Caenorhabditis elegans: one gene and its partner. The protein of the gene in region 1 interacts with the protein of each later gene in a pairwise test. Each region holds a gene or a part of one and is shown on either strand. Other genes may lie near its edges.

The links.
Region 2: the proteins of ceh-20 (region 1) and unc-62 interact in binary tests that used the Caenorhabditis elegans proteins (3 or more experiments, as listed by UniProt).

What each region holds. Positions count from the first base shown.
Region 1 is NC_003281.10:6,977,657-6,982,295, forward strand, and holds ceh-20 (Homeobox protein ceh-20), read left to right. Parts: upstream 1-2,227; 5' UTR 2,228-2,230; coding exon 2,231-2,322; intron 2,323-2,513; coding exon 2,514-2,796; intron 2,797-2,918; coding exon 2,919-3,245; intron 3,246-3,505; coding exon 3,506-3,766; intron 3,767-3,816; coding exon 3,817-3,870; 3' UTR 3,871-4,129; downstream 4,130-4,639. UniProt on the Caenorhabditis elegans protein: Transcription factor that binds to the 5'-TGATNNAT(G/T)(G/A)-3' PBC/Hox lineage enhancer region of sem-2 to promote cell fate specification in the postembryonic mesoderm (also known as the M lineage).
Region 2 is NC_003283.11:4,495,383-4,500,489, forward strand, and holds the start of unc-62 (Homeobox protein unc-62), read left to right. Parts: upstream 1-2,080; 5' UTR 2,081-2,084; coding exon 2,085-2,207; intron 2,208-3,947; exon of another isoform or gene 3,948-4,413; coding exon of another isoform or gene 4,414-4,425; intron 4,426-5,107. UniProt on the Caenorhabditis elegans protein: Acts redundantly with ceh-20 and ceh-40 to perform overlapping roles during embryogenesis.

The DNA of each region.
Region 1 (4,639 bases):
AATTCTACAATTTTTGAATATTTATTCATCAGTTAAATATAAAACTGTGAAAATATTTTTTCGATCGACTTCCAATATTATGAAAGGTGAAAACTGAGTAATTGCCATTTTGACAGCAAATTAAAATTTCACTATCTGACCTCAAAAACTAAATATGCAAATCAAATATTATATTTCAGTTCGACCGTTTTGACTATTTCAATGATCGATTCTAATGTGATGCATATCGATTTGAGGGTTGGAATGAAAACGAGCTCTTTTTATTGCTCCGTCACTCTCTTTTACTCTGTGATAAAATACCCTGTTACCATCATCATCAATTCACTTTTCTGTATGATACGGGCGCTAATAAATATTTTACAACATGCTTGATTTCCCACAGATTTCGTTTAAACATATATCATAACCATCAAATGGGATGTTCTACATGTAGAACAAATTATACTTTCTTCCAATAAATACAGAATTAAAAATTTCCTAAATAAATATGAACTGTTTTGGGATTTTTTACACTTATTTTCAAGGCTGCGATAAGAACGGTCAAACTTTCATAAAAAATTGAAATATCTGGAAAAGTGGAGATACAAGCAGTACTCAGTAATACCCTGAAGCTTATTTTATTTCCTAGTTAGGTGTTAAATATTTCTTAAGCTAAGAATTTCGTAAATCGATTTATTTATAAATCTAGCTATGTAAACATAGTCATGGAGATATGCCTACATTCCTACGCATTCGATGCAGCTGAGGGTTTGGCAGATTTCCTTTAACTTGATGATCGTAACCTTTTCAACTCCTTCGCAAAAAAATAGGGTAACCGTAAATGCATAAATCTACCCTTATCTAGGTACCATCAAATAGCTCACGCATAAGATAGGAATCTGACAATAGTATGAAAACATTACTGAGAAGCTTACTTTCGGTCTTCAGTGTAGAAACATAAATACCTTCCTTTGGGCCGTCTACGTCTAATTTGTCGTTAGGCCGTTACTCGGTATTCAAAACGAGTTACACCCACGGTAGGCACGCAGATGGGCCTTTCCGTAACTGAGTGGAAGATACTCGATTTAGCACTTAATTTACTGTATATTTTCTGATTCAAATTCTAGACCACTATGTATTTCTTCAACTCATCAATCATTCCCCGCTTCTCACTTTAAAAAAAAAATAATAATAACAATATGGTTGAGTTGACCCAAAGCCGTAACAACAACGGTCATTTCCATCGGCTGGCTGTGTGGTCGAGGGAAGGATCCATTACAATCGCAATAAATGCGGATTCAAAGCGCAAAATCCCTGCGTCTCCCTTCAATTGTTCAATGTCTAATAGTTCTTCTGGCAGATGATACGTCCTCACAACATCTGGCCTTTCCTTCCTTCCACTGCTACAAACACACATAGCAAAGGTCATCTCCTGATGTCTCTAGGTCTCTTCGAGTAAATGAAGAGGGTCTTTCTCTGTTGTTTCGAAGGAACCGCTACGCTGACACGCGACGCACGTCAAATGTCAACTTGTCTTCGTTCGACGTCTCCCCCCAACGTCGTTTTCGTGTATATCCATCTTTTTTCGAGACGTTTTTATTCCGTTTTTGCGGAAGGGTGTTGTTTTGAGTTATTGATCCCTTTGTTTTTCGACAAGAACCGTTTGATGTAAAAGTTAATATCAAGTGACAGATCCTGATGGATCCTGTCAGATTATGGTAGGATAGTATACTTTTTATAGTGAGTGAACTGACACTAGGTTGGCAAGAGTATACCTATCTACACATTTGCTCAAACAAAAATAACCTTACTACAATAATGGGAAGCGCTAGAAATTGTGCAACCACCGACCTAACACATCTTATTTTACGCACAATTTTGGCTCCATTACGGCCTGCCCAAATATTCGTGGTATAATAGAATCTATGTCTATTCCATACATTATGGCTATACTAAAATGTCGAAATAAGATTTTGAATTCTATTTTTTTAATCAAAAGTTATTTTACTATTCAGTTTTCACTTATCAAATGTTTATCATAATAAACTATCTTCAAATCTGACTTTCTTTGAAATTTCGATCCTACCACATGAGGCAATGTATTTTTGGGAAAATTCACACCAGATCTTCCGAACACCTACTAATTCAAGGTCATTTCCTCTTCTTTGTTTCTAAATTTCTCCTTCAAAACTTTCAGTTTTTAATTCAAATTTTTAACTTTTTTTTAGAATCTAATTATTAATTTCAGAAAATGGTGGGGACACACCCAGCCAATCTCAGCGAGCTTTTAGACGCCGTCTTGAAAATAAATGAGCAAACTTTGGATGATAATGACAGTGCAAAGTGAGTTTTTTGTTTTTAGTTTTTGAGATTTGGTTTTTGAAAGAAATTCAGAAGACGAGCCATAATTTTTGGAGATCTAGAAAGTTGTTTTCAATTTTAGTAATAGTTTGTGAAAATATTCAAAAATGATAAAATTTTTGAGAACATCTCCACAGTATATTTTCCAAAACCTAAAATTTTATTTCTTTCAGAAAACAAGAGCTACAATGTCATCCCATGCGTCAAGCCCTATTCGATGTTCTCTGTGAAACAAAAGAAAAAACAGTACTGACAGTTCGTAATCAAGTGGACGAAACTCCAGAAGATCCTCAATTAATGCGACTTGATAATATGTTAGTGGCGGAAGGCGTTGCAGGACCAGATAAAGGAGGTTCATTAGGAAGTGATGCAAGTGGAGGTGATCAGGCTGATTATAGACAAAAGCTTCACCAGATTCGAGTTTTGTACAATGAAGAGCTGAGAAAGTATGAGGAGGTACGCTATTTTCAAAAGCAAAAACTCAGATCTGACTCAACATTGTTTAATTGAAATTTAGTTTTTTTTGTGAGTGTTCGCGAAAAAAAAGGTCCGAATAAAAACTAAAAATATTTTTTCAGGCTTGTAACGAATTCACGCAACACGTGAGGTCTCTGCTGAAGGATCAATCACAAGTTCGCCCAATAGCACATAAGGAAATCGAACGAATGGTTTATATAATCCAACGAAAATTCAATGGAATTCAAGTTCAACTCAAACAATCCACATGTGAGGCCGTCATGATCCTCAGAAGCAGGTTCCTTGATGCCCGCCGTAAACGGCGAAACTTTTCGAAACAAGCGACAGAAGTGCTTAATGAATATTTCTATGGACACCTCTCAAATCCATACCCATCAGAAGAAGCAAAAGAAGATCTCGCAAGGCAGTGCAATATTACAGTATCTCAGGTATCATTATAAAATTTATTCGTTTTTTTTGCATAGTACCTATCGAAGGCTCTATATAATAAGTCTTGCTCAAATTTTTTAGAATAGCTATTAATAGTTCTATTCATTTCGGACGTAATGAAACTATGAATTATTCTGAATGTTCACAACTTTGTCATATTTTTTGTGGCAGTCGAAAATGATAATGAAAATGTTTAGAAAATAATTTTTTAAAAACATTGTCACACCTTAAACTTTTTTTTCAAAATGTTCACTTTCAGGTTTCCAATTGGTTTGGAAATAAACGAATTCGCTACAAGAAAAATATGGCAAAAGCTCAAGAGGAAGCCAGTATGTATGCTGCCAAAAAGAATGCTCATGTAACATTAGGAGGTATGGCTGGAAATCCATACGGAATGCTTCCTGGTGCTGCAGCCGCTGCTGGCCTATTAAATCCCTACAATCCTATGAATATTCCCGGACAAGACACATTGCATATGGGAATGCCACCCTTTGATTTATCGGTATATAATCCACAATTGGTGAGTACTATTAGTCTTTACAGTTTCAATTTTAAATACTCTCTTTCCAGATGGCCGCAGCTCAATACCAACAACAAATGGACAATGCTGATAAAAATTCATAAATAATACTCAGCCAGTTGGTAATATTGAAATCTCAACCAATCATCCCATCTACCATCACACAATCTTGCTTTCTTCTCAATCGAATTCCCGATCAATCTCGTTCTGGTTATTCTGTTAGACCATCGACTTTTTTGTATTTTTCTTTCCAACCAGCTTGTCCTTTCTTGAATTTTTTACTTGCACAGACACACCCACCTGTTTTCAGATCTCTTCTTGGCATGAGTTTTGGAGCATTGATAATAAATTTAATTGAATTTTTTTAAAACACAATAATAACAATTTTGCAAAAAAAGGTTTCACGATATATTCAACCAAGTTCTACCGTACACTTACAGAAACTCACAAAATATTAATAATAAAAAACTGTGGCGAGAAAATTTTAAGCGTGTTGGAAAATACTCGGCTTCCAGTGAAAAACGACGTTTTCCGGTGAAATGAAAATTGCTAGTTTCCTTCTTACTATTGAGTATTCTTTTTTTTCTTTTTTTTTAAACACATATATTTTTGTCAGATGTTCTCTATTTTTTAAATTTCAACTTTTGATAAAAAAAAATTACAGGAAGTGTTTCTAATGGGATGATGCAAGTGAATTTCTCGTCATTTCTCGACAATTTTTTTGCAATGCAAGTGTGCGGAGAAATGACGAGAAATGACGTGAAATTCGCAATTTCTCCGCATTTCTCGACATCCACACATACCGTAGTTGGTGACGTTGTTGGCGGCAAATCGCGGCGAGACCCGCTGTGTCGATTTACGAGGATATAGCTA
Region 2 (5,107 bases), on another chromosome or scaffold:
TTCAAATTTTGTTTCGTGTCCCCCCCCCCCCCCCCACCAACACCGGGCCGGCTGGTCGGTGGTTGTGATGGTGGTGGACACACGGGTTACTGTAGTAGGCATACACATCCCCTGGTACGGTATTTGGGGAGCCAGGCGAGAGAATCGAAATAGAAGCGAAGAGCAGGGGAGCAAGAGCATCGATTGCGATACGATGCGTGGAAGAAAAAACCACTGATAACTTTTTTTTTCGAATAATGTTCGGCGCACGTAGCAAAGAGCACACCGTAAGCTTATCAGTTTATACGTCAGCCTCGTTGAGCAAAGATCTGCCTAGGTTTTTGAGTATGACTATGGAGAAGAAAAAGTAGATCAGATTGGGAAACAAAATGGCAAAACTATGTACAAATGAATCAAATTTTGTTAGCCTCTAAATTAGCTTTTTTTTATTCACTCTATTTTAGAGACTTATATCTAAGTTGTCCTTAGTCTTATTAAAAAATGTTTTACTGTAAAAATGTAGAAAAATATTTGCACAAATTTTGTCAGTTGAAAATTTTTTTTACAAGCCCTAATGGGATCGAGTTATAAGCCGTCAAAGTGGAGCAAAAAGAGGCAAGGCGGATAGAGCAGTAGCTCTTTTGCATAGAAACAGTAGCTATATTGAAAATGGAAAGCTTGTAAAAAATTGGTTTAAAAATTTGTTAGCCTCATAATTTTGGCCTTTAATTTAGGCCTTTGATTAATCTTTTGAGCTGAGCCTATTACTCTAGAATTTTTGAAACAACTCAATTCTGTCAATTCAAGCAACAAAAGCACCACACGCTACCTTCCAGGAAATCTGAAATCTATAGGTTAATCTTCTTCCCGTGTCTACCATGTTACCAAACAAAGAAAAACAGTCTGAAACTTTATCCCACTTGACACCTCCTACCCCTCCTCTTCCATATGATCCTAATCTTAATCCCCTTAGAACAAAAGGCGACGTTAATAAAGTGCAGCTGGAGTATAAGTAGATGAGGGAAACGGGGGATGTGGTGCATTGAAGGGAAAAAATGTTGAAACTTTTGTATTTTAATGTTAGCATCTCTATGTCTCTACTCTCTGATTATTGATAAGGAAAATGTGTCAAAAAATGACTGTGCTCTCTGGAAGAGGCGAAAGGTTGCGATATTTTATTACATTCATAGGTGCACATTTAGTTGACAATCTGGAAAGTGTAGTTTCAGAAGGATCTTGTTTAATTAATTAATTTTTTGTGGAAACTTGGAAATAGCTGACTAGGTTTGGTAGAGCTTTTTTGATTCCTGATAATGAATTTGAAAAATTAGGACATTGTCCGCAATTTCCTTAGTAGGCTTGCACCCGTCTTGCTCCACTTTAACAGCTTCTATCTCAGCTCTCTTTGATTTTATCAGAAAAATTTTAACTGACAAAATATGCGCAAAATGTTTTTCTATATTTTACCAGTTAAACATTTTTTGATCCAATCAAAAGCAACAGAGATATAGGCCGTCAAAATAGTTTCTCACATTTTCGGTGGAGCAAATTTCTTTCAGAAACCGAACTCACTTTTAGATTTTTTTTTAATTTCCAAACTAGTCACATTTCCTCAGCTCATGCTCATTCACATGACAAAAAACTTCCGGTGAAACTGGCGGTATAATGAAACTTTTTTTTCAGTCTCATACCGTACATTACATAAACCTTATCAAATAAAAAGAAACTAGTTCCAATCTTCATTCTTTCCACTTTATTTTTCCTTAGCACTTACATTTTTTTTGTTCGAATTTCAAAAATATAATGAGAACAGCTTTGTGCACCTAGTGGGGGCAAAAACGAACAAAAGCAATTTATCTTCAATGCGGAGGACATTGGACACAGGACAGCAGCATGTAAACTTGAATTTGCCCTCCTGGTTCATCTCTTGCGGAGCCTATTTATTATTTTTTTTTTCGAATCCATCCCTTTTTTTTTGGTGTGCTTTTTGTGCTTTCGGGCCACGAGGACCCATCTGCTGTTGCTCACGCACAGACTCTTTTGATAAATGATAATGAGTTTCACGTTTTCTTTTTCAAAATTTAATATTTCTCTCTTGCAGGAACATGAGCGGCGACTCAAAAGTGTGGGCTCACGCGTCCGCTGACACTTGGGCTGTTCAAAATGGAATTTCGACGTACGATTTGGACACGTCGAGCATCAAACGAGAGAAGCGGGATCACAATGAGGTAAAATTTAAGAATTGGTTGTTGTTTTAATTTGCGACTAAATTTCCTAATTAAATTGATTTCTGAAAATTGAAAAAATTTTTGCCGATTAAAAAATTCTTTAGGATCTTCACATTGTAGTTTAAGAAATTCAAAAATCAATTTTTAGAATTAAAAATAATTTTATAAATCGAGCTTTGAAGGGTTTTGTATTGTCTGAAACTTCAAAACTTTTGGAATTTCGGAAAAAAAAATGAAAAAAATGTTCAAAATGAACTGTAATTTTTCAGTTCTGTTACGATAAAATGCTTTCAGAAAATTGATAAAATCTATAAAATCAAAATTGTAAAAATTTTAGAGTTTCGAAATTGGTTTTTCATTGAAATATAAATTTCAAGAAACCGGGAAAAAATATTGTAATATTTCGCAAAAATTTGAAACATCACATTAAAGGCACACATTGTTTTTTTTTCTGAGTTGGTCTCGCCACAGGAGCTAAATTCAACAGATTTTTTTTCATTTGACATAGGAAAACAAATTTCAAATTCGGAAATCCACTAAAAATTCAGAATTTATTATGAAAAAAGTATATTAAAGGTGGAATAGCGCCAGTGGGAATTTTGTCTAAATACACTTATAATGATCCAAAACGACCGAATATTATAATAAAACACCCCACAAAATTTTAGCTTTTTCATAATTTCCGTTCAAACTTTTGCCAAATTGCCAAATTTTTGAAAAATATGAGCTTTCGAGGAAATCCAAAGCAATGTCGCATGTTTCGCCCCCTACAATGTTTCAACACGAATAATTAAAATAAGCTTAAAGTGTAAAAAATGTAGGAAAAAACTTTTTTTGGTCGACTTCCAAAATTATGAGTAACAAAAACTGAGTAATTGTCACTTTTTGACCGCAAATAAAAAAATTTAAGAAAATTTTTGATTGTTTTGATGTTTTTGTTTGATGTGTTTGTTTGATGATGTTTTATTACGATATTCGGTCATTTTGGGACCATAGGAGTGGTTTTTAACAATTTCCCCATTGGCGCTACTCCACCTTCAACAACTACCATAAAAATCTAAGAACATATTTTTTGGGTTTACAACCTACCAGTTAAAGTTCATAGAGCTAGTTCCACACATCCACGATATAATATGCAATTTAACAGCCGATGATCCGATTATCAATATCAACAGCATAAAAGCAATAACAAAATCCTGATAATTTTCACACAAATTGTCCGCCGCTTTTATCTTTTCTCTCCTCATTCTTCTTCGTCTCATCATCGCTCCCCCCCCCCCCCCCCCCCCCCCCACCGACCGATTTATCTCTTTTAATCACATTAATCATGTGTTTCTTATCGAGGGTGGAAAATTGGAAAATTGATAGGCGACATGGAATTTGGCTGCCAAGAATCGGGTACTACTTGGTAGAAAATGTAAATTTGTGTTAGCTGGAAAACCTGAGGTCCCCCACACTTGACTTTTTGCCTCGTCTCGCTAAAACAAAAAAAAGAGGAAAATGCAATGCATGTATTTTTTCGTCGTCGTCGTCGTCGTCGTTTTCTTCGTGTTTGACTTCTTCTACTCCTCTCCAAATTTGCCTTCTCACCCTCCTCTCACACCCGGGGTCTACTGTACCGAATTGAGTGCCTATTGGCGCAATAGGGCGGGGCCCCGGCGCATCGCTCTCTCTCTCACTCACTCCTTCTCTCGAGGGGGGCTAACAGGGGAAAATAGACTGAGAGAGAGAGGAGAAGGCAAGCGAGTCGATCTGCCCCCCGGTTGCCCGTTTCTCTCTCTTTCGGTGGTTTCTCGTATTTTTCCCCCACCAGGGAGAGTCAGAGAGAGGGAGCCCCGCCCACATTCACCCCACCAACCCTCCCCCCAACGATCGGACAAGATTGACATACAACCGTTTTGAAGTGTGTGAGAAGTTGTCATTTTCGATATTCATCTGTCTGTCATATTATTTACGTTCGTTCCATCATCATCGACATCACACGCAGGGCAGAGAAGAACACACGCCGCCACCGCCGGCCCATCAAATCGGCACACTAATCAATCGATCAACGAGAGAAGAAGAAGAAGGGGCGGGCGACAAGCTCTGACCATCATCGTGTGTGTGACAGACTGACTGACTGACACCCCGTTGTGGAAAGAGTTTTCGATCCCGACACGACCATCGTTCATCTTATTCAGCAAGGCCCCGTGTGTCGGCAACGACGATGGCGCAGAGGGTACTTCTTCTTCTTCTTCTCCTTCATTCCGTTTCCCCTCTGCTTCTTCTGACTTTGACATGATACCAGAAAGAGCGCCATCCCTTTTTCCTTTTCTCCTCTATAATTTATCGTTGTGTTGGGTGGTGGCTCGAGCTCATTCTTGGGTTTCCAATCAGCCATTGCGCCCCCCACCGCGCCGTCGCTGTCGCTTTTTTCCCGCTTTCTAGATCTCAAAATTGCAATTTTTAGGTGTTCGCCTTGTTTTAAGCGCTGGTTAGTTACAATATAGTTTCCCAAGCTTCAGAATATAGAAAAACTTGACCCCAAATACCTCGAAAAGTCGTATCTCTGCTCATCTCTAGAAAATCAGTGAATATAATACTTTAAAACTATAGTTCTAGAAAAAACAAATATTTTGTCAGCTTAGAACTTTTTGTTTTAACTGAAAATTACAATGAGCTGCCAAATTGAAGCTACGGTCTGCAAGACTAACAGTTGCACCCCATCGTCCAACTTTGACAGCTTATATCTCAGTTTTCGTTCATCCTATATAAAAATTGTCAACTGGCAAAATCCGTATTATTTCTTTTTCTATAATTTTGTAGTTGACTATTTATTTATATCTTCTAATTGAACCGTGATATAACTTTTCAAAGTGAGGTAGTGAGGTGGAATACTATCGACTTTTGCAAATCGTTAA